Rattus norvegicus: one gene and its partners. The protein of the gene in region 2 interacts with the protein of the main gene of each other region in a pairwise test. Links are inferred from orthologs where the notes say so. Each region holds a gene or a part of one and is shown on either strand. Other genes may lie near its edges.

Region 1 (4,329 bases), about 97 Mb from region 2:
ACAGAGCTAGCAACCATTCCATATTCGTCAAAAATGCTAACAGTTCCCTCATGTACAGACAACCCAAACTAAACAGCCCGCCCCCCATGCAAAGCCCTGATCCTGTCCCCTGTCCCAGATTCACTGCCCTGGGCTCCCCCCAGCCTCCCCCAATCTTACTCTTCCCAGGATGCCCACACTTGACCATGTCCCAAGGCAATCTCCCTGCTACCTGCAATGTACTCTTTGCCAGTCCTTCCTGAATGTTCCTATACAACCTTGAGCACCAGCTTTTTCCTACGGGTGAAGGGTACCGTGCTCCTCTGTGCAAGGCCCCTGTTGGGCTCTCAGGCCATCTCAGTAATTCAGGAGCTGTGACCCAGCCCAAGAGCATGAACTCCGGGAGAGGGCAGGTGTCGTTCTTTCTTATCACTGCCCCAAAATAGGCTGGGGATGCCAGCGTTGGTTTCTTTAATGCACGAGAGAAGAAGGCAGACAGGAACGGGTGCCCGGACTGCCTATACTCACACTCACTCATCCCCAAGAGCAAACGCACACATAGTGAGGGTGAGCCCCTCACTGTCTGCAGCCCTGACTCCCAAGGACTCCATGGCTTCTGTCTGGCACTGACATGGAAACAGAGGAAGATTCTGTCAGTCCTAAGACTGCATCTACCACCCATGCCATGTAACCTCAGCCAACATTTAAACGCATTAAACACATTACAGGTAAATGAGCCATGGGCCTCAGGACTTAACAAGGTGGCGAATACACAGTGGGTGTATAATAAACACAATGTAAACAGCATCTAGTTCTGTCCTCGTGACTCCCAGGCAGATGTCCTATTTGGTGGGTTTTAACTATTATCTCTCTCTCTTCTCTCTTTCCTCTCCTCTCTCTTTCCTCTCCTCTCTCTTTCCTCTCTTCTCCTGTTCCCCTTCCCTCTCCAAGGCACCCAAACTCCCCAGAGGGAAGTTGCTTTGGGTCCCAGCTGCTGGTCTCCTGGGTTCAGGTCAGATCCAGCTATTCAGTAAGGGACACAAGTTGGGGTCCCAGTCCCTACTGCACTGGTCTGCTATCTGCTACCCACCATTGGTGGCCAGAAGCTACACAGCCTCCTCCATCCTCCATCCTCTCTCCATTCTGCGTGGCTAAAACTGTCATTTCAACAGCCCGATTCTCTGGCAGGTAATGCAGAAATACCTGGGCCGCTTTCCAAGAGCAGCAGAGCAAGTAAACCCTTGGGTTACCAAGAACAAGCAGGAAACTAGTGCTTACAGTCCGTCCCCAGTTTTGAGTTACACACACACACACAGACACACAGACACACACACAGACACACACACACGGACACACACAGAGAGATACACACACACACACACACACACACACACACACACTGCACCCCTCCCCCACAGGGCAGGAGAATGACTTGTAAGAAGATACCCTGGCTGTCTATCCATACCAGCACAGGTTTGACTCTGGCCCTAGCCTCACAGTGTCCCGAAGTAGTGACCCAAATGTGGGAGGAGGGGCAAGCACAAAGAACCAGGCACCTGCACCACCCAATCTCTGGATTTCAAACACCCTAGTTGAAAACCACATCCACCACCACCACCACCACCCATGCCACTCCCTCCCCCCCCATCTCCCCACCCCTGCACTCCCTGCCACCCCCCACCCCAACTCCTCATAATAACCATTGGGATAGCCCAGACTTAAGTAGACTGGAGTGTAGCTTAGCAGTCAAGCCTTATCTAGCATGCATGAAAAACGGTTCAAAACCCAGCATCACCAAACAAAACAGAAAGAGCAGGCAATCCCAGAACTAAGTGACCCCAAGTTGACCAGTAGCACTAGATGGTCAGGCTCCCTGGAGCCCTTTGCTGGAAGTTGAATAACATAGGCTAACCAGCATATCCAATCCCCTGTAGGAGGCCTGACCCCATGGCAACCTGGAGGGTAGGCTGATGCAACACAGAACACTGGACCAGGGGCTTGGGTCCAAGTCCTAGCTGTTGCACCACCACAATCCCTACCAGCTTTCTTTTCTCCCTGTCTGGCCTCAGTTTCCCCACTTGCCCAAGCCCTGGGTTTGACCGGGTTTGACCAGCCCAGGTTTTCTTGGGTCTCCTCTGTTAGGAAGTTCTTCTAAATCACTTTGCCTGGACTCCTAACTCATCTTTCACAACCGGGGGCTGCCTCTTCATGTGTCCTGACTCTACAGACCTGTTGCCATTAGGAAACTGAGTTTACATCAAGGAGTATTAAGGCTTGCCCGGGTGGTCGGATCGTTCGTCCCTGGGGACAACTGGCTGGGGTATGGTCTGTCTGTGGTGGCTAAGTCTGTGATGGGTGGACTGCAAGCTGTCTACACGAGTGCTACTTAACAAAGAGTAGAGACCACAACCCTAGAGGTATCCCATTCCTTCCCAGTCAGGCATAAGCATCAGGACTTAAAGGAGGTGTCTGGGGACCACCTAGAGTGGCCACGAGGCAGCAGGGCTCAGCCTGGGCTGGATCTTCTGGCTGTGGGTCCCCGAAGGGATAGCGCGGCGGGCGCACTCCGATGTTCACCATCCCGAGGGTGGAAAGGGCTAAAGCCTCGCGCCCGACCGCGCGCACGCACACGCGCCCTGGCGGCGCCCCCTCCCCGTCCCGCCACCACTGACCATAGTGACCGGAGCCGTCGGGCCACGTCTCGCTCCAGCGAGGAGCGAGCGGGTGCCAGGGGAGGCGCTGGGCGGCTCCGCCGTTGGGTCGGGCGGCGCGGGCCTCGCGGGTGTGGGGTGAGTGCAGAATACACCCGACCGCCCCTCAGACCGGAGCGCAGACCTCCACTGTGTCCCAGCAAGACGCACGGCCCGCGATTGACGTCGGAGGCCCGCAATCAGAAGCCCGGACGCGGGACGTCACAGAAAGTGGGTGGGACTGCACTCGCCTTCGGCCTATGTTTTGGGGCCCGTTTGACAGGAGGCCGCCCTCCTTTTAAAGACACAGAGTGCTTTTAGCTAGCAAAGGAGTTAGCCCAATCCAGAAAGCAGGTCCGGTTTGCAAAGACAGAAGGACTTTTAACTAAAACTGCAAATTGAAGGCATCTGGAAGATTAGATGGCCCTCGTTAATTAATCAACGAGTTCACATACATAAGTGTATTTCTTTCAAGATCAGAAGACACGCGCTTAGGAAATACGCGCCCAGTGTCAGACATTTAAGTTACCTGCCGGCTGCTGTCTAGCAACAAATAATATTTTACTTCTTTGTAACTCATGAATCAGACAGGCATTCAGGTAATATCTGTTGAATGGATGAACGTTCGAGATGGTTGAGCGTGGCTCTGTGGCTGTAGGGGTGTGTAGAAAACACAATACTGAACCAGGTGTAGGTGAGTCACCCTGTATACAAGCTCATAATTACTGGACATCAAAGAGGAAATATTATTAAAAGGTTTGTTTGTCAGCCCTTGACCCCTGAAGGAGTTATTTTGAGTGCTGTGTGGGGCTCCTGTATATAGCACATAACTATTTTAGTAGGTTCTGGGACTTAGATGGTTCTACTTCACTTCGGTGTAAAAAACGATAATGTTGGATAGACACTGTTTGGCTCTTTTCCTGAGCTAATGACAGGTGACTCTCATAACCTCAGAAAACTGAGGCTCAGTCAGCCCCACCAAAGAAGACAATAGACACACCCCCAATATTCTGTGGTGCAAAGCCAAGATGGTTGGTACATTTGGAGTGAGGCAAGCATAGTGCATTTTTTCATTGTATGGGGTGTGTGTGTGTGTGTGTGTGTGTGTGTGTGTGTGTGTGTGTGTGTGTACCTGTGCTGCATATGCCAAAGTCAGAGGTAAACTTAGGTGTCTTCCCCTATTTCTTTCCACTTTATTATTTTTTAAGGTTTATTCTTATTAGCTGGGTGTGGTACCACAAGCCTTTAATCCCAGCATTTGAGGCAGAGACAGACTGGACTCTGAGTTTGAAGCCAGACTGATAGATCAAGTTCCAGGACACTCAGGACCGTACAGTGAAACCCTGTCTCAAATCCCTTACCTATGCTCTGTAAGGAAGCCCAACAAACTCACTGTTTCCCCAAAGTAAACTTTTGTGGAATTGTGCTTTGATTTGTCATTGAGACCTTGGGAGGAGTAGGCACATATCTGATCCCTAGGAAGGAATTTTAGCAGCATATGTGTGGGTGTGGATGTCTGAATGTGGGTATGTGTGTGAGTGCAGGTACGTGGAGGCCAGAGGATCTATAGGATGCCTTGGAGCTTGCATTATAGACAGCTGAGAAGCTGCCTGACATATGTTGGGAACAGACTTGAATTCTCAGGAAAAGCAGGAAGTGC
Region 2 (4,399 bases):
ACCTGTATGCACAGGCATGTGCACACATATGGATGGCAAATAAATATTTAAAAACAATAGCCTGTATGGGGCTTGTGGTATAGGTCAGTGGCAGGATGCATGCACACAAGGCCCTGGTTAACCACAGCACCAGAGGAAGGAAGAGGGGGGAGGGGAATCTGTGCTCAACTCATTTCCTCACACTGTGATAAGGAGGGAGAACTCTTACTCTTCTACTTTAAAGATTTATGTTGTGTGTATGTATTTTGCCTGCATGCATGGTGTCCATGGGGGTCAGAAGGGGGCATCAGAGCCCCTGGAACTGGAGTTACAGATGGTTGCGAGCCACCACGTGGATGCTGGGAACTGGACTTGGGTTGGTTGGGAGAGCAACAAATGCTCTTGACCACCGAGTCCTCTCTTCAGCCCCAGACAGTTATCTTTTCCTCTTTTGAGACGGGTCTTACTCTACAGGTATACAGGTATACTTGCTACATAGAGCAGGCTAGCCTCCAGCCTGTGGTGCTCCTTCCTCGCTGGATCCCAGGCTGGCTCCTGGCAAGAAGTGTATTCCTGGTGTTCCCATCACAGATTGCCCACCAGGAGAGCCAGCTCTGAGGAATCCAGGTTACTTCATCTGTGAGGTCCGGTGTCTGTACATGTGAGTTCTGTTCCTTCATTCTCCCTGACCTCTGATGCAGTCATAAACTACTCAGACCTCTACCAAGACACAGAGCCAGGAGGCAAGCCTAGGAACTTATAAAGGACTCTGGTTTATTTATTTAGTTAGTTGGTTAGTTAGTTAGTTGGTTAGTTAGTCAGTCAGTTGGTTAGTTAGTTGGTTAGTTAGTTAGTCAGTTGGTTGGTTAGTTGGTTGGTTGGTTAGTTAGTTGATTAGTTAGTTGGTTAGTTAGTTAGTTGGTTAGTTAGTTAGTTGGTTAGTTAGTTGGCTAGACAGCGTCTTATGCAGCCCAAGCCAGCCTTAACCTCCCAAGGGCTGGGTTTGCAGCCGTGCTCAGCTCTTCTGTTTTTGCGTTGGAGATGTGTAGATAAAATAGTGCTGTGACTTCACCTAGTTATGCTTGGCCTCATGACCACAGACACCCAGGCATTTCTGGGAAGTACAATTTTGTTTCTGCCGTCTGTCTGTCTGTCTGTCTGTCTGTCTGTAAGTCGCCTGGATACCATTTATCTCCTACTAGGTCAGGAAGGATCACCGGTGTGAAACTGGAGAGAATGTTCCTGCTGTGGCCCACTGTGTCTTATCAGACCCCTCAGGGACAGAGGGCTCTGCCTCAAATACACACAGTTCTGTTGGTATGGAAGGATTTCTCACCGGTTTACCAACAATTTTTTTTTTTTTTTTTGGTTCTTTTTTTCGGAGCTGGGGACTGAACCCAGGGCCTTGTGCTTGCTAGGTAAGCGCTCTACCACTGAGCTAAATCCCCAGCCCCAACAATTTTTAATTTTAGTTTTCTCTTTCTTATTTACTTTTTGAAACGGTCTTGTTTTGTTGCCCAAGTTGGATCAGAATTCACTATGTAAATAAGGTGACACTTGCTAGCATGGCAGCGATGTCTCTAATCCCAGTACGAGAGAGGCAGAGGCAAGAGGATCTTCTGTGAGTTCAAGGTCAGCCCGGTTTGAATAGTGAGCTTCAGGACAGCCGCCAGGGTTACAGAGACCCTGACTCAGAAACAAAACCAAACAATGACAATCCCCTTGTTTTAGCCTCCCAAGTGCTCGAATTACAGGCATACATACACCACCACACCAGGTTATTGTTTAAAGTGTGTGTGTGTGTGTGTGTGTGTGTGTGTGTGTGTGCGCCTGTCTGTCTGTGTTCATATAAGTGAAGGTCAGAGGTCAACTTTTGTGAGTCAGTTCTCTCTTTCCATCATTTATGTTTTGGGAATCAAACTCAAGTTGAGGTCTGGTAGCCACACTAGCTAACACACACACACACACACACACACACACACACACAGAGAGAGAGAGAGAGAGAGAGAGAGAGAGAAAGATCTCAATATATCCTTGATCTTTTCTCCAGAGTTTGTTTAAAAAAATTTATCTCTCTCTCTCATATGTGTGTGTGTTTGTATATGTATATGTATATACATATACATATAAAAGCCTCAAAATGAATGAAATCTAGTCCAAGCTCCCACTAAGCCCATGCGAGACCATCGATCTTCCTTTCCAGTTTCTGCTGTGCTGGGTGGACCCCACTTTCTAGTTGCTGTAGACACAGGTTATGCTTACCAGCCTCAGGGTAGCTGCTGACTCATGCTGACTCTGGGACCTTACTCTGGGACCTTACTCTGGGACCCTCAACTCTCCTGCCTCTCAGCCAGGGCAGTTTCACCGGCTCCCAGGGGTGGGCTCTCCCCCACCATCCGCCACCTGTCCCCCACCTGTCCCCCACCGTCCCCCACCGACCCCCACCATCCCCCACCTGTCCCCCACCATCCCCCACCTGTCCCCCACCATCCCCCACCTGTCCCCCACCACCCCCCACCTGTCCCCCACCATCCCCCACCTGTCCCCCACCTGTCCCCCACCGACTCCCACCGTCCCCCACCGTCCCCCACCATCCCCCACTTGTCCCCCACCTGTCCCCCACCTGTCCCCCACCGACCCCCACCTGTCCCCCACCATCCCCCACCTGTCCCCCACCTGTCCCCCACCGACCCCCACCTGTCCCCCACCGTCCCCCACCTGTCCCAGCCCACCTGGAAGACGTCGTTGGCACACTTGCGGCACAGGTTGTGTTGGCACGGCAAGATCACCACGGGCTTGGAGAACATCTCCAGGCAGATGGGGCAGATGAGCTGCTTCTCCAGGTTGTCCATGTTGTGTGCATCCCCCAGCAGCGGCTTGAAACCCACCGTGAAGTTCATCCCGCGGTGCTCTGGTGCCTTGCTGTGGCCCTGTTGCTGGCCTTCTCTCCCCCTGCCTGCGCGCCCTTCCGCTGTCAGTTTAGGCTGACTGTAGATTCTTGGGATCCCTGATATTGCTCCCTCTGGAAAGAGCGGTGCTTCCTGTCCCTTCCTCTAACAGCTCCTCTCTCCCTGGGCTATTTCCAGACACTCTGTCTGCTCGGAACCCTCACCAGGCACTTGTAGTTTATCTCTCTCTCCCTGTGAGATTCTCCTCCTGTCTCCCCAAACCACCCTCTTGCTCGCTCTGCGGGCAGCACTGTTTGTTCCTCCCGAGAGAGACTAATGTTACTGTGGGGGTGGGGACACAGGGGCACCGCTGTGACATTCCAGTTCCCAATTTAGCTCATGTAAGGCGAGACACAGCTGTCCCAGACTGAGTGGCCATGACTGTCAGGAATGGGTGGCCAGTGGCGTGTGGGGCTCTATCGCTGTCACTGAAAAGGCTCCTCCGAACACTGGTCTCCGTGCTCTGGCTTGGGACCTTCTTCCAAACAGAAACGCAGTGTAAACTAGCCTGTGGGAGAGGTGCCATACCTGGGCCCAGGTGGGGGGCAAGACCTGGACAGACCTGTAGACTGCGTCATCGCTTCCTCTACAGGCTTAGCCAGTGACCCGGCCCTCCTCCATGATTCAGAAGTGGAACGGCAGACCAGAGAGAGAGAGAGAGAACATCTTGTTCCATATGTCTGCCCCGTATTTGTTCTTGCCCAGCCTTTATATAAAAAAGCAACCCTACACTTATTTACTTAGGGGGAATGGTGGGTGCAACCTGGAGCACAAGTGGAAGTCACAGGACAAAAGAAAATTCTTTTTCTGCAGCATGTGCCAGAAATCCAACTCAGGTCCTCAGAACTGGTGACAAGTGGCTTTCCCCAGAGAACAATCTCTTCCTTCTCCCTTATTAAAGACAGGTTCTTGAGTAGGACAGGCTAGCTTTGAACTCATTCTCGCCATGGATGACCTTGAACTCCTGATCCTCTTGCCTCTACATCCGATGTGCTGGGTTGAGGGGAAAGCACCATTATCCCCATTTATGTGGTGCTGGGGGTCAACTCGGGGTCTCAAGCATGCTGGAGAAGCATTCTGCTAACTGGGCTACGTCACCAGCCCTTGGCTCGCCCTTGTGGCATCATCCTAGGAGAGCAGCTCAAAGGCAAGAGGTGGCTGCTGTACCAGGCCCAGACCTGCCTTAGGATTATGACGTGAGAGCGTGTGATTCTGGTCCACAACTACATTAGTCCATTGCAAGGATGCTAAATTTGCTTAAACCTGAAACAAGCATAGACTGGTGATGCCTCAGTGACCGGGAGAGCCTGCTGTTCAATCATGAGGACTGGAGTTCAAATCCCAGCACTCATACCCATCTGTAATAGTAACTCCAAGAGACTCAGCGCCCTTCATGGGCTCACAGACACGTGCACATAGACATTTACACGGACACATGCATGCAGATGCTCACACAGACACACATAAAGAAA
Region 3 (3,776 bases), on a different chromosome or scaffold from region 2:
CGAGTGTCACAGACACACATACTTCTATTGTTTGTTTGGCAAGAGATCAAAGCTCGCACGGGCAAGCACTCTGGCATTGAACTGTATCCTGGCCTTTATTTACTTTAAACAAAGGACTTCTAGACACAATCCTTTTGTGGAATAACTGAGTCTAGTTTTTTTTTTTTTGTTTTGTTTTTTTGGTTCTTTTTTTCGGAGCTGGGGACCGAACCCAGGGCCTTGCGCTTCCTAGATAAGCGCTCTACCACTGAGCTAAATCCCCAGCCCCCTGAGTCTAGTTTTAAAATGTTAGCTTCTGCTGTGTGTGTGTGTGTGTGTGTGTGTGTGTGTGTGTGTGTGTGTGTGTGTGTATGTGCGCGCGCGCACGCGTGCACGCGCATGTACACGTATGCTTGCTTTATGATTGCTGCCTGTGGCCCTTTGCAGGAGTCTGGGGTGATCCTGGGATGAAGCCGCAGCTAAGAGCATCGGGCACTGGTCCATGGGATGCTGTCTGATTACTCGTCCAATGCTCCGATCCTAAGTTGCCACCTTGGAATCTGCGGCTCTGTGACTTGCAGATTCTCTCTGTGGCTCATGGCCACCAGGGACACTCACTTCATTCTTACTGAAGTTGCCATCTTTCGGATCTCTGATTACTGTGCTGCTGCTTCTCTTTAGCCTTTAGACCTACTTTGGATAACTGGATACTGAGGGTTTTGTTTGTTTGTTTTGTTTTGTTTTGTTTTTTTGTTTTTTTTTCCCCTGGTTTGGCTTAGTTTTCCAGGGTATGACTGAGTGTCCTCTGTTGTCACTGACTTTGAAAGAATGTGATGTGGAATTACCACCTTATAATGAATAATCCGTTAAGGGGAGGCTCGCTTGCGCCTGCGCAGTAATTAGCGGGCAGCCATAACAGGGCGGTTACCTGGGATTTCAGGAAGTCCTTAGCCTTTTGTTCTTTCTCTTCCATTTTGATCTGAGTCATTCGCCCGAGGTTGAACAGCACCTCACGCATAGTTTCTTGCTCCTTTAAAAGCTTGTTTTCCTCCGCAATCTGCTGCTCGACTAACTTGGCCTCGGCTTCTGACAGAGATCTCTTTTGAAAAGCACAGGGTGAGAATTCGCTTTCTGAGGGAGCCCAGAAAGGTCTGCACGGAGCCCAGCCTCTTCCTTTTGAGTTTATTAAGAGGCCAAGCCCCAAGTTTGTTTCCCTTTGTTTTATGAAGGGTGGAAACTAGTGGGGTAGTGCCATCAACCCTGTTCCTTACTGTGTTTTTAAATGACTAGGAGGAGTTTAAAAATATGTTTTAAAACACTTCCACAGTAGTTTGGCTGACAAAAGTTTGGAATTTAAAATCAGACATTGGGGAAACAAGGTTGACTTTTATGCAACCAACAGCCTTTTTTTTTTTTTTTTTTTTTTTTAGAAACATAGCCCGGGAAAGTTTTGTCCTTTCAAACACATCCTCCCTTCTTCTCAGAAACAAACAAACGAACAAAACAGTGTGGGAATGAGCTTGAAGGTGAGGGTGGTGTGTGTATACTCACGGATATACGACACTTGGCTAGCGGGCTTGGACATTGCACTCAACCCTCAGTAAACCTCCCCAGTGGAAAAATCGGCCATTGGAAGCAGGGCTGTAACATCATACTTTTACTCTAAATATTAATGCATATTGTATTATCTGTTTATATCATTATAAATATGAATGGGTTCCACTGTGGCATTCCCGTATACACGTACGTCAATCATCATTTGATACTTTCTGCCTCCCCAGTTTCTCCCGCCCTCCCTGCCACTTCCTGTCCCTTAGCATTCTCTTTCTGACGTGGTTTTAGGGAGCACTTTTGAGACACCATTTTATTCTCCATTCTGAGATAAACATGTGACTGATATTAACCTGCTGAGCCAGATTTCTCTTAGCCAGGTCAACCTCTTTGTGGAGCTCCTTCCTTTGCTCAGGCAATAAAAGGTCTTCTTTGGGGATAGCTTCCATCTGGAAATCAACATTTAAAAAGGAGGCTATTATGAAAACGACGTCTGGTGCTTAGGGACCAACCCCATTTCATACATTTTTAAAATGGCGGGCAAATCATGATTCCCGATCTTACAGGAATTTTGAGAATAGGGAATAACCAGAATAGGTTATAAAGTCAGTGCAAAGTAAAAGTATGAAGATCTACCAGAAATACATGATTGATTAGCTACAGATGGTTTTTCCTTTCTAAATAAATCTTAATATCTAACGCTCACTGACCATTGCCTAAGTATGTTGCAGGGCTCTGAGGGCTTGGATCCATCCCTCACAAATGGCATGAGGCATCCAGGGGTTTGGAAGAAGAGAAAGGCAAGCTTCCTTCCTCACTGGTGCAGGTGCAAACCCAGGCCGTCAGCCAGAGAGCCTGTGATCTCCCTAGCACACCCTGCTGCCTCTTGAATTCATGGTTCAGGAACCGAGGGACCTGCGTGTGTTGGACTGTTCGTGTGAGGGTATTATATACCCAGTCTGCATTCACTTATGCAACCTTACAGGCCAAATAAACGCAGTTCTTGGTTACCAGGGAGTATAGCTCACTACTTAAATGTGGCACTTAGATAAGTGCATGTAAAATTCTTCAAAGAAAAAGTTTAATTCCTTTGTTGCTTCCAAAAGCTACAGTTTTGCCATTATGCTTCTTGCCGTATTAGTGTGTACTTTTGTCCTGTGCTGAAACACTTGGGGGGAAAGTATTTGATAAGGAATCCCATAGTTGCTAATGAAGAAAGGCAGAATCCAAGGCTGTGGAAGGGTCATCTTGGGGTGCTAAAGGCCTACTTGCCTACTTGGGACCCCATTATAAGAGCAAATGACCTGACGTGAATCTTTTCCTCTGGTGACAACATTCTTCGAGTCACTAGGGTTGTACCCAAGCCAGTATGCACAACTGGGAAAGAGCCTGCTTGGTGGTTAAATGTCACCTAACAGGATCTTTGGCTGCCCCGTTCACCATCTGTAAGCCAGTGCTTCCCGATTCTCAGGGCCTCACCTATGACAGACAGCTGTCAAGAAGCAAGACGTGGTCTTGTGAAATTCATATAACACTATAAACTCTCATGTTTCCGATGAACAGATGAGGGTAGATCAAAGCAAAGGGGAAACTCGAGCAGCCTTGAGTACTTAGGAAGACTTCACGGGCGAGGCGAGATGCCTGTGAGGAAGACTCCATGTGTCTGATGTGGGGTGGGGGAGGGGAGGTAAACTAGCATCACCTGTGCAGACAGACCTAGGATGGGCTGTTCTCCATGCTCTCCTCCCTCAGGCCACAGGTCATGGCCTTGAGTGCTACCCGGGACCAGGAAATCTTAGAAAACAATGACAGAAAATCACAAACGCTTACTTAGTTTATCAACTAAAAGCTCCTAGCTAATTCTTTTCGACTCTTTCCACCATTCTGAGTGAAGTATGGACAGCATCACCATGAATTGTACTCAGTCTTAATTTTTGGCTTGCGCTCTTCTAACACGATATGCGCGTATGTTTATCTTCTTCGTGGGCCATTCCACGTGCATCTGCTGCATTCTGGTTAAATTTCTTATAAAACTCACCCTCTAGTTTCTTCAGAATTGCATAGCCAGCGTTTATGGGAAAGGTTGAGAAGACGAGCGGTTGGTAGCGAGCGGAACTTCATCTACCACAGTCTGCTGGGGATCAACTTTGACCTTATTATCTAAACTTTCGCTGCTGTTCTGAGTTGCAAGTGTTGGTATCAGAAACTGCTTTCACCTCCAGCAGTGACTTTAGTCACCCATGGCA
Region 4 (4,243 bases), on a different chromosome or scaffold from region 2:
CAATGTAATAGGCATATTCTTCAGCTCCCGCAGCAAATCCATGGCTCCCTCCTAGAAGGAAAATGGACATCCATAAAGGACTTTAAACCTTAGTGGATGCTGGGTAATGGTGGTACATGTCTTTAATCCCAGCATTCAGGACGCAGAGGCTGGTGAATCTCTGAGTTCAAGGCCAGCCTAGCCTACAGAGTGAGTTCCAGGATGGTCAGGACTACACAGAGAACACTAGTTGGGAGGCTTAGTGGACAACCCCACCTCGTTCTGATCACATGTGGGACAACTGAGATTCCCAGAGCATTGCATACTTGTTCCAACATCACAGCAGGGGCTTTTTACTGATCTTGCCATAGGGCAAGGATAGAGACAAACAGCCCGACCATGCTGTCCTCAAACATCAGGTGGTTTCTCACCCTGCATCTATGCTGATCTCCAGACATCATGGTAACCACAGGAGGACACTGAACAAGCTACTAGAGAAAAAGAAAAGCCCCAGTTCCTGCTCGACATGGAAGGACACTCAGGTTCCTTAACCTTAGTCCACCTATGCCATGGTGGCAGAGCAGGCTCTCCTCAAAGTGCCTAGCCATCAGTGTGGCACTATTCCCGGGCACTGTAACAGACAAACCTCTGCCCTGGCTTTTCTTCAGCATCTGCAGATAGGCTGCACCTCCAGAGTGGGCAGGTTCTTCCTGTCCCTACCTAAAACTCTCTACCTAAACTCTCAGGAATCTCTGCTCTAGCCAGATTTGCAAAGTTACAGCACCATAGCCAATGAGGTTTATCAGAGGCACAATTATTGCTAATTGAAAACTACCAAACCTGGTGACACAGGCCTTATCATCTTAGATACTTAGGAGGCTGGGGCAAGAGGATCAAAAGTTCAAAGCTTATCTGAGTCTCAGAGTGAACTCAAGATTAGCATGGGAATCCTAATGAGACCTTGTCTTAAAACAAAGTAAAGAGAGGGCCATCTAGACACAGCTGTGGTAAAGCACTTACTTGGCAAGTTAAGGCCCTGGGTTCAATACCCAGTATCAAAAAAGAGGGCAGGTGAGATGGCTCAGCAGATAAAGGCGCTTGCCAACAAGTTGTACAACCTAAGTTCAATCTCCAGCTCCCAAATAGTGGAAGGAGATAACCAGCTTCCAGGGGTCGTCCTCATATTTACACACACACCACGCTAACAAATGTAAAATTAATTAAATTAAAATATACAAAGGAAAGGATGCTAGTTTTCTTTTAAAAGCTAACACCTACAAATCCCATAGTCCCACTTCTTATCTCTTTCTCAAACTAACCACCACCTTCCTCCTAGGTTTGTAACAGACAACCCTGATTTTCTTCCTCTGCCCAAGCTCCATTCTTCAAACCTCAAGGGTAGGCAGGCTCTTCTTGTCCTACCTTAAACCCTCCAACTCTGTTTAAAGCTGCTCTTCTACCACTTCAAGTTTTTACTCCTACAACTGAGACAGACTCTTCTAACACCCAACACTATTGTGTTTGCTGTCCTCCAAGTTGCCACTATGAGCTCATTTGTCTTACAAGCCACAAAAAAAAAAAAAAGCAAGGAGAGCCCACCCAGCCATTCAAACCATCCTTACTAGAGGCAGTGGTAGGGGCTGGGCTAACCCTTCAATCTGTGAGAATTACCTGCTCAGCCTGCAGCCTTGTATCTTGGCCCTAAGGCGGGCTGTACAGCAATCAGCCCTCAAGTGGCTGACTTTCCTAAGAAGACCTGATCCTTAGAGCCAGGGGCACTGATCCACAACAGCCCTGCATTCCCACAAGAAAAGCCCAAACAAACCACCAGCTGTTCCAAGGAACCTCTCAGGTTACTGGGACCTCTGCAGGTTCCCTTCTCAACTGTTTAGTCCTATCTGTGGCCTTCCATCCTTATTGTGTCTCCCTATGGATCCCAACCCCATCTCTGCCACCCTCGGTTCCAAGTTTGTCATTTGTGTTTTAACGCCCTTACCGGAAAGAAGCACCAGCAGTACCAGGCGGCTTCTGTTTCCAGTGTAAAGGCATATATGGGAACTTAACCTGCTTCCTGCTTTAGACCCCCACCCTGCAACCCTCAGAGCAAACCTGCTCATCCCCCAAAGCTATCCCGCAGCCCTCTACTTCAAGCAGTCCTGAGGAAAAGACTCATGACTCAGCCACTATCTGGGCTGCCCTAGGAGCGGTGCCGCGGATGCTCTGGAGTCATACTCGGTTTTAAGGCCACCTCCTCGTCCCTTCCCACCCACGGAAGGCAAGATGCAGGTGCCATCATCCCCTAAGGATGCTCCCAAAACTACGCGGGTCGGAGGTTGGACTGCCGAACCCACACTGGCTAGGGACCAGGCGAGGGGCCATCATCTCCTCAGGTCTCAACGCCACAGGCTCGACTCGGAATCTCTACTGTCTGCCCAAACCGACTTGCTGTTGCCTGAGGCCTGACTAAGCAGGGGAAAAATTTATTAGAGAAACCTGGTTCTGAAGGGTGGGGGCAGACAGGGGAGACAACGGCTGGGCCAAGAACGCCCGCGGCCACCGCCGGGCGACGAACAGAGGGCGGCTCTCGGTCAGCGTGGCGTCCATAGCGAAGCGGCAGGGTGGAGGGCGGGCCTGGGCAAGGGGTCTCGACTGCCTGGGCTAGGTTTCATTCAGACGGTGTCCACGGAGCGGGGCCCCAGGGTCCTGGCGGCCCGCGCCCCTCACCGCGTTCTTCCTGGTCACCATTTTGTCCAGCCTCCGGGCGATACGAGCAATCTCCTCCTCCTTGCCCATCACTACCTCGGTGGCGGCGGATTGCGCCGGTTGCGCCGCCCGGCCGGACCTCGGCCGCCGCCGCCTAGATCCGCGGTCCAAACCTCCGCCTGGCGGCCGCGTGCAATACAATTAAAAAAAAAAAAAAAAAAAGAGTCTCCGCCCCCGGGACCACAACTCCCAGACGACTGCGCGGCCCGCGGCCTGCGGGCCCCTGGAAAAGGTAGTTCCGTAGCTTCCTCCGCGGGAACTCGGCCCCACGTGCCAACCGAATGCCAGGGAGAGGGTGGAACTAGAGGAGCGGGGAGAACTACCCTGCTGCGCTCCGGTCTTTACCTCAACCCATCGGAGCCGCTCGCCCTGGCGGCCCATCCGCCTTCACTGATCCACTCCGGTCGCCTCCACTGATCTACTCCACTTCAGAGACGCGCGTGGGGAGTGGGACGACTCACTCACCTCACTTGGTACCAAGCCGAGTTTGGGGCGTTCTTGCCTCTGCGCAGATGGCCCGGAACTCTGAAACGGTTTCTCCGCAAGAATTCAGGCTTTAGCCAGGCAATAGAGCCTCATGCCTTTTAAATCCCAGCACTCTAGGCAGAAAGTCAGGCGGATCCCTGTGAGTTCAAGGCCAGCCTGGTCTACAGAGCTAGTTCCAAGACAGCCAGAGCTGCACAGGGGAACCCTGTCTCTAAAGAAAAACGAAACAACAACAAAAACCTATTCAGGTTCTGAAGTCAGCCTAACAATACAAACCCCAAGTTCTGCACGTTGCTCTATGTCTCAGTCTCCCAACCTGTGAAGTGACAATGACAGGCTTCAGTCAGGGTCATCCAATTCACATTATACACTGAGAACAGGGGAGGGTACTGAGGCAATCAGGTACCGAGGCAGTACCTCAGGAAGACCATAACCATGCCCAGGAAAGGGAGAAAGAGACTCTGCTCCTCTTCTGTGCTATAGATGGTGGCAGGTGTGCTGGTACCAAAAGTCAGTGTCTGAGTTTTTGTACCCACAGTAGCCAGGAGGGCAGAGTGCAAATGGCATATACAAATGGCTTGGGCTGACCATTTCAATCAGTTATGACATCTTTACCATAAGGAAAAGGCATGGAATTTCCTGTAGGTAACAAAGCTTTTCCATATGTGTACACAGCTCTCTAGTTTCATACCAACTCCTATTCTGCCCTCTCCTGGGCGCTGGGCCCTTGCTCTAAGCTAAACCCAACTAAACAAATTCTGAGAGAGGGAACCCTGTGTTTGAGTACTGAACTAATGCTTGCAGGACCCTGCCACAGCACAGGCAGTAAGAGAACCACAGGGCCTTCAGCCATGCTGTGTTTGGCTGATGACTGACCCCATGAAAGGACTGCCTACTGAGTAGTACCAGCTCTGACTGGTCCCAGTGATGAGCAACAGCAGCCTGTAGGTGGCAGGAGTCACCCACGTACCCTCTCAAGCACAGGATCTTTTCTGAGGAAAATCCAGTAGATCAC
Region 5 (3,776 bases), on a different chromosome or scaffold from region 2:
TGGCACTGCTACGAAAGCTGCAGAATTCCTAGGTGTTAACAGCATGACCTTCCAATACTGAAGACAAGGCGGAGCGTCTTCTTAAATGTTTACATTAACATGTACTTAGCTGTCTGGCTAGTGTGTAAATGCACACGTGTGTACTTAAAGTTTGGGCATGCACATGTTGCCGTGCACCTATGGAGGTCAGAAGACACTCTGGGGATTCCGTTTCTTCTTCCTTCTATTACCTGAGTTCTGGGGGTCCATTTAAATTCCAGTCATCATGCCTGAAGGAAGTGCCTTTACCAACTGGGCCACTGTGCTGGGGCAAAGCCAAACTTTGGAATTTAAAAAACTAGAGTTTTTTTTTCATACAATTATATTTTGATCATATTCTTTCCCCTACCCCAAAATGTCTTAAAGAAAGAACAAGGAGAGTGAACGTGAATCCTGGCCTCAGCCCCGTGTGGATCACCAGAATTATACAAAGATATCCCAGACAACAGATTAGAAGCACTTCGCTGGCCAGATACGCTTCAAGGAATTTGCTCCTTTAGATAAAAAAAAACAAAACAAAAAGGCCCGTATATGCTGTCTGTCTGTCTATGTATATATATCAATAATCCTATCTAGAAGACAAGAAAGGGTTTTAAGGGGGCTATCATTGCTCATTTTGCCTTTAAATTACCCTAGAAGGGCAGTGGGGCTCTAGAAAAGCAGTCCCTTGCCAGCATCACTGCTTCCTTTCAGTCTCTCTCACTGTTTCAGACTCACTGACCTAAGTCCTGAGCCCTGAGTCAGGGCTGTGAGACTGAGACATAACTAAATGGCTTCCCAGCCTCGCTCTGAGCCTCTTCAACAAGCTCACTGAGAGAACACTGAGCCTTTGATTAGATTTATTTGTTTTAATTTTATTTTATATGGATAAATATCTGTATGCCACTTCTTTGCCCAGGGACTGAGGAGACCAGGAGAGGGCACTGGATTCCCTGGAACTGGAGTTGCCACATGGGTGCTGGGAATCAAATCTAGGTCCTCTATATGAACAGCTAAGCACAAATCACTATGCCTTTAATGACTCCTTTATACAGCATTTTAAACATCCTAAATTTTATTTTCATTATTGTGTGTGTGTGTGTGTGTGTGTGTGTGTGTGTGTGTGTGTGTGTGTGTGTGTGTACAGGTGCCCTCAAAGGCACTGGATCCCCTAGAGCTGCAGTTACAGGCACCTGCCTGACAGAACTTGAGTCCTCCACAAAAAAAAACAAGGGCCCTAACTACTAAGGTATCTGTCCAGCCCTTAAGTATTATTTTAAGAAGAGATGAGGGCTGAAGAGAGCCTCAGGCAGTTAAGAGCACATACTGTCTTTCAGAGGATCTAAGTTCAATTCCCAGCACCCACATCAGACAACTCACAACCACCTGCAGCCCCAGCCCCACAGGGACCCCTCTCCTCTTGTCTCCTCGAGCACTGCACGCACATAAGATAGATGCACACAGTTTCCTGAAAACTTTGGATTTTTTTTCGAGACAGGGTTTTCCTGTGTAGCCCTTACTTTCCAACTCACTGTGAAGACCAGGCTATCTTTGAATTCAGAGATCCACCTGCCTCTGTCTCCTGAGTGCTAGAATTGAAGATATGTATCACCACTGCCCAGCTTAAAACATTTTTCAAAGATTTATTTATATATTTTACATATGTGAGTACACTGTCACCCTCTTCAGACACACGATTACAGATGGTTGTGAGCCACCATGTGGTTGCTGGGATTTGAACTCAGGACCTCTGGAAGAGCAGTCAATGCTCCTAACCGCTGAGCCATCACTAGCATTTTTTAATGAGGAAAAGAAGTAGATACAGCAGCTAGGAAATGCTCAGTCAATAAAAGCACAAGCACGAGGACCTCAGCTGAACTCTCAAAATTCACACAAAGGCCAGGCATAGTGGTAGAAGCCTGTAGTCCCAAGCTTAGGGTCAGAGACAAGAAGATCCTGTGATTCAACAGCCAGCCAGTCAAGCTGAAACAGGGAGGTCTATGACACCCTGCTTAAAAAAATAAAGGGAGGACAGGCTGGAGAGATGGGTCAGCAGTTAAGAGCACTGACTGCTCTCCCAGAGGTCCTGAGTTCAAATACCAGCAACCACATGGTGGCTCACAACCATCTGTAATGGGATCCGATGCTCTCTTCTGGTGTGTCTGAAGACAGCTACAGTGTACTTATATACACTAAATAAATAAATCTTATAAAGAAAATAAGGTGGAGAAGAAGGGAGATAGGAAATGTCACTCTCTGGCTCGCACACACAAAGTAGATGAATGAGGAGGAGCTGGTGGGACGGCTCAGTGTTTAAGACAACTCACTGCTCTTCTAGAGGACCCAAGTTCGAGTCCCAGAACCCACATGGCACCTCACAGCCGTCTGTAACTTCAGTTCCAAGGCATCTGACACGCGTTTCTGGCCTCTGAGGGCACCAGGCACACAGTGGTGCACAGACATTAAGCAAACAAGGCATCTACAAACATAACATTTTTAAGAACAAACACAAATCCATCCACAAGAAAATACACTTGCCTAGCAAACGCAAGGCCCTGGGTTCGGTCCCCAGCTCCGAAAAATAGAAAAAAGAAAAAAGAAAAGAAAATACACAAGAGCCCCAAATGAGTCTTTTCCTGTCTGTTTCCTAAAAGTATAAGAAATAAGCTTTAAGAGAGAAAGGCTCTCAGGAGACTTTCAAGTTTAGAAACAGCTTCATCTCCTAAGTTATGGACACAGTGGGTATTACACAAGGTAAACAAACAAGGATCAGAAAAAACAAAGCATGAAAAATATCAGACAAAACCATCAAGTAGCCGATGATGAACAGTTTGGATGAGCGTGTTTATAAAGTATCTTTATCAACACAGCTACATGTTTCAATTCTCTTTAGTACTCCTGCAGGAAAAAAAACTTCTTTAAAAAAACAGTGTCTCGGGGTTGGGGATTTAGCTCAGTGGTAGAGCGCTTGCCTAGGAAGCGCAAGGCCCTGGGTTCGGTCCCCAGCTCCGAAAAAAAGAACCCCCAAAAAAAAAAAAAACAAACAAACAAACAAACAAAAAAACAAAACAAAACAGTGTCTCTTCAAGTCAAAGAGAATATTTCTTCACATACTGCCTGGCCATCAAACTCGATTTCCATGTTAAATCTGGTCTAGAACTTTCTTGGGCTTACAGAAGCGGAAGGCTGAGCCCACCTGCCTTCTAGATCTAACCTGCAGCTTACTCAGGCCTGGAAGAAGAAAAGAGAAAATTACCCTTCTTGGATCCAGCCCTGGAAGAGGCGCTGAAGAACTTCTTCACTGTGGTGACTTTGCGAGTTTTCTCATTGGTTTTCTTCTCCTCAAACTTGGAGAAGGTGAGGGACTGGGCTCCTTGGCTGCTCTGGCTGCTAGCGAAGGCCTCTTCCTCCTCCCGCTGAAGTCTGAAATCAGAGGGAAGACTGAATGATCTGGATCCTCTCCAGGTTTTCCCAGGGTCTAAACGATCTTGTTCAAACTACTGAGAAAGATCTGACTTTAAAACAGAAACTAAACATACCACATGGGTCTGAGGCCTCAGGTACGTGGCTGTAAGGTGGAATTCTATACCTGGTGAAGATTTCAGTACACAGCTTTAATCCCCGGTACCCCACAGCAAAACAAGCACGCTTTGTATACAGAATTACCTGTCTTCCTGGGAGGCCCAGGAAGACATATCACAGAGTTTGAGGGCAACCTGGGTTATAGACTGAGACCCTGTCTTAAATTACCATATTAA
Region 6 (4,246 bases), on a different chromosome or scaffold from region 2:
AAGACACAAAGTAGGCCTAACATCCCCAACTACCTTCCTGGGGAGATAAACCCAAGAAGCAAATCCCTTAGAGAGAGAGAGCATCTTCTAGGGTCCCAAAGTAGGTCCAGGAGCGCCCCGCTCCCATCCATTCCTATCGAGGTAAACTGAGTTTAAAATGCAGTCACCAGTCTCTCCTTTCAAGTCCCAGTAACTTTAAATGAGGGAGAGCCAGGCCCTCACCGGAATCCAGGGTCGCTCTTGCAGGTAGGCTGAGCTGACCAAGAAGACGTTGGTGAGGTGGCGGTGGCGACTGGGCTTTCTTGTGTCTGTAGGTTAGGGCTTGGGCACTTGCCAGGCCCTGCACCCTGGGTGACAGGTCTTGGGAGTGCCACCTCAGGGGCTGGGGGCACACAGGGAGAGCGGTTGGGAGAACGACTAGGGGAGCGGCTGGGAGACCGAGGTGGCTTGGGCAGAGGTGGGGGCACAGTCTGGTTTGAAGGGATTCCTGGCCGAAAGGTAGGGGACAGAAGTCCAGGGGAGCGGGTGCCAGACTCTGGAAGGCCTGAGCTCACATCCAAGGGCAGGGTCTGTGGTGGCGGCGGCAAGACGGGATCCTCGGGACTGTGGCGCGGAGCCTCTGGTCTTGCGCGGAAGGAGGGGGAAAGCCGAGGATCTGAGGAAGTTTGGGCCCTTGGAGGAGAGGTGGCAAGACCAGCTGCCTGCACTGGGGTATGGAGACACCCGTCTGCAGGGGGAATGGGCCTGCGAACTGCCGTATCCTTCTGTCTAGCTGGCAACTGTCTCTCGGAAGCTGGGGTAGATGTCACAGTTGCTGGAGCCAGGTGACTCTCCTGAGAGGGTGACAGAACGGGACTGGGCACAGGGGAAGGACTGGAGGGGGACTGTGGGGGCTGCTCCTGAGAGGCCAGTGCCAGGCTTAGGCCTGAGGTTGCCAATGCTGGCTTAGGTCCCACAGAGGTGGGTGATAACTGCTTCTGATCCCTGGAAGTTGGTGATAGAATGGGCCCTAGAGGAGCCGGAGTAGGCCTTGGCATAGCAGAGGCAGATATTACTAGCTGCCCCAGAGACTTCGGAGCCAGGATTGAGACCGAGGCGACTGGCGGAGGCTTTGGTCCTGCAGCGGCAGATACTACCAGTTGGCCCACAGACGTGGGAGCCGGCTTGGAGCTGCGGTGAGGTGGAGGTCTTTTCTGTTCGCCAGCGGTGGACAGTGGAGCTAGGATGGGTCGGGGAGATGACAAAGCCAGTCTTGGTCTCTCTGAAGGAGGTGACACAGCTGCTCGTGGTCCCACCGGTGCCAGGGCCAATCTTGGTTCTGAGGGTGTTGGGCCCGTGTTCTTTGCTGGAAGCTGAAAACTTGAATTTACCTTCTAGAGGACAAATAGATGACTCAGAGTGACTCTAGCAAGGGGCTGAGCCCTCACTTCCATTTAGCCCTCAGCAGACACAGCTTAGGGCAGATCCTTCCAAAGAAAGCCTGCCTGCTCTCTCTCCAATCCATTCTGCTCCAGGTCAGTTTCCTTCTCAGAAGAGACAGGATACAAAAGGATACAAAAGTCATGTTTCCATATTAATCTTGAAACCCTGTTCACAGACGGACAGACTGAAACCCTGAATAGGCTGAGTGGAGCATGAGCCCGAATCTGAGTGCTCTCCTAGCCTTCCTGGCTGGCACCTACTCCCGCTTTAACCTGACAAGCTTCCAGGGCAGCTCTCACGGCAGCCCCTGCCGCTCCTCTTACAGAGGGCGCTGACTCAAACACCCCAAGTCCCTCCATGTTCTTTCTTCCAGTGTCCCTCAGGTGACCCTCACACTCTACCCACCACTCCTGACCCCTTGGTCACAGTCCTGCCTGTGCTGACCCATTCCCAGTGGGCCATGCAGGGTCAAGAGCTGGCAATGGAGACTGTCAAATCCCAGCTTTGGGATTTGAAGCAAATGTTCCTCAGCCCACAGACTGTTTCCCATCTGTAAAATTAACGCGCTGTTGGAAGGGTCCCTGACCATACCACATCCTAAAGTGTGTGCGTTCAGAGCAAGGGGCCATACTTGAGCCTAACACTTCCTGGGATTTGAATGCTGGAGAGTAAGCCCACCCTCCTTGGCCAGTCAGTGCGGTCTAATGCCACGCCTCTCTCTGCCCAGACTGTGCCCTCTTATCTTGCCTGTCCTTTCTCCACCTGTGAGGATAGGCAAATGGGTATTCTTTATACCTGGCAGGGGGGAGAACACCTGCCTTGTCCATTCTGATTATGCTATTCCCACTCTCCAGAGGACAGGAGAAAGCATCCTTTGCCAGGGAGGACGGAGGAAGGTCTATGCTCGCCCCAGGGTGGCCCCATCCTGCTTTGGAGATGCAGTTCAGTCTCTGTCCCTGTCCTTCTCGGTTCAGAGAACCTGGAATTCTACTTCCACCTCCCTCCCTGAACTCCACTTTTTGAGGCAGCATTTTGGATACTCTCCTTGGTTCCAAGTGTCCCACTGTGTGCCCCCTCCCCCCCAAGCACCATACCGCCTCCAGCACTAACAACTTAGACATCCCAGATGTCACAGTTCTAGTCTTCAGACACAAGCCCCCTCATTTTGCATTGGCTCAGAGAGGACAAGCCACTTGTCCAAGGTCACACAGCAGAGCTGGAGAACAGCTGGGTCCTCTGACAACCAATCCAGAGTGCTTCTGGGGGACTCCTGGCTGTGGCTGGTTCCTTTTCTCTATGGGCATCCCATTACTGCCCCTCCAGCGTGACCTTTTTGCCCAGCCTCTGCTTGGCAGGCACAGAAAAGTACCAGTCCCTTAGCCAGGGGCACCAGGGTGCCTGCAGAGTGCGTGTGGTGGGGGAGTGTGAGACTAGGAATCAGGAATGGGGGCTAGCTAGGGTTTAGGGGTTCTTACCTTCGAGGGTGTCCCAGTTTGCAAAGCCCCATGGGTCCCAGGCAAGGGTCCCAGTCCAGTTCTGGTCCCCGACTTGGCACTACCACTCCTGCTCTGGCCCTCCATGTCTGCAGCAGACCCCGGCAGCCCAGCCTGGCTCCCTTGGGTTCTGGCTCCAGCTCCTCAGCTCCCAGGAACCAGTGATGTCATCAGCCATTTCAACCTGCTGAGAATTTAAAGGCACAGGCACCCACTTCCCATACTGAAGGTGGCAAGTGCTAAGTGGCTACCCTTGAGGAGCACTTGAGCTGGCTGCTGATCTCAGAGCGTCTGGGGTAATATAAGCACCCATCAGCTTAGCCCTCCTGAACTCTGAAGGAGACCCCACCACCTGTCTGCCCCACCCTCCAGACAGTAGGCCAGGCCCACCCTTGCTCCAGGGAGGGGCCCAGGCTCACCCACAGGTAATTCAGGGACAGGTGGTTCAGAGGTCAGCAGCCTCCTCTCCATGGCCTCAGGGACATCTGCCTTGCCCTGTCACTTTCCTAACTTTCTGTTTAGCTCAGGGCTTGTCTTGGCCCCCACCCTTGCCCCATTTTTAAGCCTTGGGCTAACTCTCCCCCCACCCCCACCCCCATCTTATCCCTGTCTGGCTCTATTCTTCCCATACCAAAACCAGACAGTCAGGCTCCATCCACCGGAGCCTTCTCCCTTTCAAACTCTGCCAGCCCCTCCTCTTCTGCAGACATCTCAGTGCCCTCAGATGTCCCCACACATAAGCCGGTCCCAGTCCAGTCCCAGTTTCTCCCTCTAACACTCACTCACTGGTGATGGTTCTGAAAGGCACTTGTCAAGGTCACCCCATGAACTGAGGAGATCTTCTGAGTTTCAGTGACTTAACCCAGTGATCCGACCACCTTGAATCAGTGGGGTATGTGGGAGAGAAAATCTGGGGAAGAGAACGGTGTAGCGTGAGGAGAGGGACTCAGCAGGAGAGTTCAAAATAAGCCTTCAAAGCTAAGGGTGGTGACACATAGGGTATCCCCAGCACTGGGGAGGCCAAGGTAGGAGGTTGGCTAAGGGGTGAGGTTAACCTGGGGTATAGAGTGAGTTCAAGGCCAGGACAGATAGGGATAAATAGGGAGACTTTTCTCAAAAAGTCCAAACTAAAAACAAGCCAAAAGTACACTAGGCATTCAAACCTTAAAGAATAGAACCCAATGGGGCTGGACAATGGCTCAGTGGTTAAGAGCACTGGCTGCTCTTCCAGAGGAATCAGGTTCAATTCCCAGCACCCACATGGCAACTTGCAACTCAAGTTTCAGTGGATCTGACTCTCTCACAGACATTCAGGCAAAGCACTAATCGGA
Region 7 (3,786 bases), on a different chromosome or scaffold from region 2:
GTACCTGCATCCTGAAAATTGCTTATTATCAATATATAAACATTGTGGAACCCAGACACTGTCCTTTGGTTTATTGGCAGGAGTCTGCCTAAAACATACTCAGTTGTCAAATTCTATTCATAACTTGGGGAGTCACACACATGGGATTCCACTCTTCCATTTGCTTCCACCTAACTAGGAGAGATGACAGCACCGCAAACCGTGACTACGACTTCATTTCAGTAACTCATAAGATGCTATCTGTAAAGCATTCTGATGAATAAAATTGAGGGGGCCCTGAATTATTCCTGAAGCGCTCCATGTACAGCACGTGCAGGTCTCCAAGAGCCGGCCCTGCTTTTCTCCCAATTTATTATATTGCAGAACCCTTAATTCCATCTAAGATGCCTCTAAAGGAGACAAAAGCAGTGGACCAACCGCAGCCATTTTGAACAGTGCTGTCCCAAGATGCTGCTGCTGCTTGTTTATTAAGGAAGGTGAGGGAGTGATATAAAGGGAGGAAACTGGATACAGTTTTAGCCTTTCCCAATAAATTTTGAGTTCCAAGAAGCCAGGCTATGAAAACGTTCTCTCTAGGGACTGAAAGAAAGCGCAGAAAGAAATTGAAACTGTGCTAAACGTTATATTTAGTAAACTAAGCCACTGCATAAATATTTAATCGCTGGAAGCACAGCCAATACTAAGCAATATCATTTCATCGAGGACCCACAATGAAATTGAAGTTCATTCCCAAGGCTGATATTCCGGTTCTTCTTCAATTAATCCGCACAACTCCTTTGTGTACCTAATCAAATCACTGCACTCTCAGATTAAATGCTTCATTCACGTGCATTTCCCGTCTCAGGACACCAGTCGCTTTTCATTTCTGCAAGTGGAGTAGAGGCTCTCGTCCTGACTCCAAACCTTTGCTGCTCTCCAGGGTCTCCGGTTTGTGCCTTACTGACCATTCCGTTCTGAATAGTTCAAGTCTTTGCAGCAAATCAAAGCATTTCCAGAATTCTCTCAAAACACAGACACATCAGCCCCCCCCCCCCCCCCCGCCCCTAGAAGCAACAAAAGAGCAAAGAGACAAACACAACAGCAACAACAAGAGAATTTGGAATGCTCAGAACCAGGGCAGTTGTACAGACCGACAGTGTGTCGGGGATGGGGAAGGTGGTGGTGATGGTAGGAAGTGTGTGCGAGCTCCAGGCTGCAGCACACCACCCTGTCGGCCTTTGTCAGCTATATATATGTATGTATATAATATTATATATAATACTGAACCCTGAACCATTGCCAAGACTCATCTCAGATACCTCACTGTTGCCCAGAGTCAGGGTAACACTACTGCTTGTTACTCAAGGTGTCCAGGGGCAGGTTTTATGCAAATTCCCAGCTGCTGTATACCTCCCCACCCTTGATGTCTGATGCCCCAAGGCTGGCTGGGCTTGACTTTTGTGCTCGCAGGCTGAGGGATGTAATGTTTCCCTGACCTTTCCCATTGGAGTTCAAGGCCACTACACAGCTCCCTGTTGGTGCCGATAGCCCCAAGGCTCGCTGGTGCTTTGTGCTTGCAGGGATGCAGTGGAGACAGATACAGATTCAGCATTCTCTACCGCATGCAGCTCTGTTCTGCCGTCTTCCAATTCTGTGAGCCCACTATTAAAAAACATCTCCCCATAAAACTTGCCGCCACCACCACCTCTGCCCTTAGTTGTTTTGGGGCTGTTGCAGGGCTCTGCAGACTGACTCATCACCCTTCAGAGACTCCATGGGTCTCTCAATCCTCCTTGAAGCATGAGATACATGAGTCTTTTTGAGAAATTGTCTTAACATGCTTTCCTGTAAGCTTTGCCCAAATGTATGTATGTATGTATGTATGTATGTATGTATGTATGTATGCATGTCTGTATAGGCATGTATAAAATTGTTGCTTGTTTCATGCCACTGGAATAAAACAGAAACCTGGGTACATCCTACCCCATACCAGGCAATTACTGTAAATACAAATGGAGGAGAGAAAGAATAAAGAAAGAACTAATAACAACAGTAGTTTGGAATGAGAGAGACAGGGGGAGACAGACAGAGAGAGAGACAGAGAGAGAGAGAGAGAGACAGAGACAGACAGCGACAGACACACAGAAAGATACAGAGAGAGAGAGAGAGACAGAGACAGAGACAGAGACAGAGACAGAGAGACAGAGTCAGACAGATAGAGACAGGGAAAACATAGAAACACTGAGTCCTGGTAGACTTGAAATTGAAGCATCACAGAACCTAAGCTCTGAAAGATAAGAGACAAAGTGAGAAGAAAAGTATCCTAGGTTGAATAAAGATGCTGAGACATGGTCATGTTTCATCTGGCAAAATATGTATGTATGGATTTTCAACTTCATTTTCTTTTATTTGCAGGGATATGGACGCCTTTTTATTCACAAGATCAAGCACAAACATATCTTGGCTAAAAACTATTTTTCACAGGTCCCAGTGCTGGCTTCACTTATACTTAAGGATGATGAAATAGAAGCTATCAGAAGTAAATACTCCACAGAGAATCCTCCTAAAATCATAGTACCCCATGGGATTGTACCTAATTAGAGTCAGGAATGTTGATTTGATGATGAGCATTTTTGTTCTCTACGAAGAGAATAATACAAAGGTCATGAACAAGGAAAACCACCTATGAATTTTTATTTCTATTATATATTTTACTCACAATATTTTGTTATATGAAGAGAAAACATCCGTATACAAGAACCCGTGTTAGGTGGTTTGGAGTCTATAAATTTGATACTAAGATTAATAGTTAAAGAGAACACTTTTATTTTTATCCATTTTCATTTGAGGAAAAGTGCTCTATAGTCAAAATACATCAGTGAAACAAAACCTTGGCTTAATCTTCTGTGAAAGTAATTTACTTATTTAACATATATTTTATGAGTATAATCACTCTATACGTAAGCCTGTATTTTGAGATAAGTAGTTGAATATTTTACTTTTATTGTCTACTTTTACCTGTTAACTGCATAATACAAGAAAAGAAACTGTAACAGATAAGCATAAATCTGCATCGCACGCCATGAAACAAGGCAAACAGTGGAAATGTCACGTTACATGCTTCCTCCGGGGAAGTGTTGAGATTCTGTAAGAAGCATAAACTTGATAAATCAACTGTCCACTGCTTCTCAATAAAGTAAGCAATAACTCTGACTCCATATCTGTCTGAAATATGTGGCGACGATGACATATCCAAAGGTGGCACACCCAAAATAGCATGATTCGAGAAGAGCTTATTTCCAGAAAGGCCCTGCTCCAAGACATATGTGATGTAGGGAAACAGAAGGAATCCAGGGCCACGTTTCAGATATACAAAATCTGATGGAGAAGCCAGGGAACCCAGAGAGAATGGAAAGGAGATAAGTAGGTCACCGAGAGGACTAGCAACCAGCCTGCAAAATTTGACCTCATGGACTAGAAAAGAAATCCTCAGTCTCACACCCCTCCTTTGCACCTACTACCTTCTCCATTTGGGACCAGAGGAAAAGATTCAGAGTTTACATGGCTCTAGAGGGAAGGGAAGCAGAGTTAATGGTTCAACAGACATGGAGAGCTAAATAGAAAGCACTGGGAAAGAAAAACAACAGAAGGTGACGATATAATTCAAACTAGCACACCTCGTGTCAATAGAACTATAAAGAAACACATTTTAGTCCAATTCTATGTAGATGGTGTTCTTTCAAGTCTAGTGATTAATACATTCATTATAAATATTTACTCTATAAATGTTTAATATTTGAGCAACAC

The links.
Region 1: the proteins of Trim54 (region 2) and Otub2 interact in binary tests that used the Homo sapiens proteins (3 or more experiments, as listed by UniProt). The two-hybrid records come from large-scale screens. The link is inferred for Rattus norvegicus from reciprocal best matches to the Homo sapiens genes TRIM54 and OTUB2.
Region 3: the proteins of Trim54 (region 2) and Ccdc146 interact in binary tests that used the Homo sapiens proteins (3 or more experiments, as listed by UniProt). The two-hybrid records come from large-scale screens. The link is inferred for Rattus norvegicus from reciprocal best matches to the Homo sapiens genes TRIM54 and CCDC146.
Region 4: the proteins of Trim54 (region 2) and Tcea2 interact in binary tests that used the Homo sapiens proteins (3 or more experiments, as listed by UniProt). The two-hybrid records come from large-scale screens. The link is inferred for Rattus norvegicus from reciprocal best matches to the Homo sapiens genes TRIM54 and TCEA2.
Region 5: the proteins of Trim54 (region 2) and Rabgef1 interact in binary tests that used the Homo sapiens proteins (3 or more experiments, as listed by UniProt). The two-hybrid records come from large-scale screens. The link is inferred for Rattus norvegicus from reciprocal best matches to the Homo sapiens genes TRIM54 and RABGEF1.
Region 6: the proteins of Trim54 (region 2) and Inpp5j interact in binary tests that used the Homo sapiens proteins (3 or more experiments, as listed by UniProt). The two-hybrid records come from large-scale screens. The link is inferred for Rattus norvegicus from reciprocal best matches to the Homo sapiens genes TRIM54 and INPP5J.
Region 7: the proteins of Trim54 (region 2) and Iqub interact in binary tests that used the Homo sapiens proteins (3 or more experiments, as listed by UniProt). The link is inferred for Rattus norvegicus from reciprocal best matches to the Homo sapiens genes TRIM54 and IQUB.

What each region holds. Positions count from the first base shown.
Region 1 is NC_086024.1:128,308,385-128,312,713, reverse strand, and holds the start of Otub2 (ubiquitin thioesterase OTUB2), read right to left. Parts: upstream 2,852-4,329; 5' UTR 2,655-2,851; coding exon 2,652-2,654; intron 1-2,651. UniProt on the Homo sapiens protein: Hydrolase that can remove conjugated ubiquitin from proteins in vitro and may therefore play an important regulatory role at the level of protein turnover by preventing degradation.
Region 2 is NC_086024.1:30,975,413-30,979,811, forward strand, and holds the start of Trim54 (tripartite motif-containing protein 54), read right to left. Parts: upstream 3,064-4,399; 5' UTR 2,880-3,063; coding exon 2,712-2,879; intron 1-2,711. UniProt on the Homo sapiens protein: May bind and stabilize microtubules during myotubes formation.
Region 3 is NC_086022.1:14,670,395-14,674,170, reverse strand, and holds part of Ccdc146 (coiled-coil domain-containing protein 146), read right to left. Parts: intron 1,980-3,776; coding exon 1,884-1,979; intron 1,079-1,883; coding exon 908-1,078; intron 1-907. UniProt on the Homo sapiens protein: Essential for sperm flagellum biogenesis and male fertility.
Region 4 is NC_086021.1:189,172,434-189,176,676, reverse strand, and holds the start of Tcea2 (transcription elongation factor A protein 2), read right to left. Parts: upstream 2,852-4,243; 5' UTR 2,773-2,851; coding exon 2,704-2,772; exon of another isoform or gene 2,584-2,703; coding exon of another isoform or gene 2,473-2,583; intron 52-2,472; coding exon 1-51. UniProt on the Homo sapiens protein: Necessary for efficient RNA polymerase II transcription elongation past template-encoded arresting sites.
Region 5 is NC_086030.1:32,117,574-32,121,349, forward strand, and holds part of Rabgef1 (rab5 GDP/GTP exchange factor), read right to left. Parts: intron 3,442-3,776; coding exon 3,275-3,441; intron 1-3,274. UniProt on the Homo sapiens protein: Rab effector protein acting as linker between gamma-adaptin, RAB4A or RAB5A. Involved in endocytic membrane fusion and membrane trafficking of recycling endosomes. Stimulates nucleotide exchange on RAB5A. Can act as a ubiquitin ligase.
Region 6 is NC_086032.1:82,605,854-82,610,099, forward strand, and holds the start of Inpp5j (phosphatidylinositol 4,5-bisphosphate 5-phosphatase A), read right to left. Parts: upstream 3,045-4,246; 5' UTR 3,003-3,044; coding exon 2,898-3,002; intron 1,374-2,897; coding exon 223-1,373; intron 1-222. UniProt on the Homo sapiens protein: Inositol 5-phosphatase, which converts inositol 1,4,5-trisphosphate to inositol 1,4-bisphosphate.
Region 7 is NC_086022.1:53,896,742-53,900,527, reverse strand, and holds the end of Iqub (IQ and ubiquitin-like domain-containing protein), read left to right. Parts: intron 1-2,394; coding exon 2,395-2,580; 3' UTR 2,581-3,192; downstream 3,193-3,786. UniProt on the Homo sapiens protein: Adapter protein that anchors the radial spoke 1 (RS1) complex to the A microtubule of outer doublet microtubules in axonemes. The triple radial spokes (RS1, RS2 and RS3) are required to modulate beating of the sperm flagellum.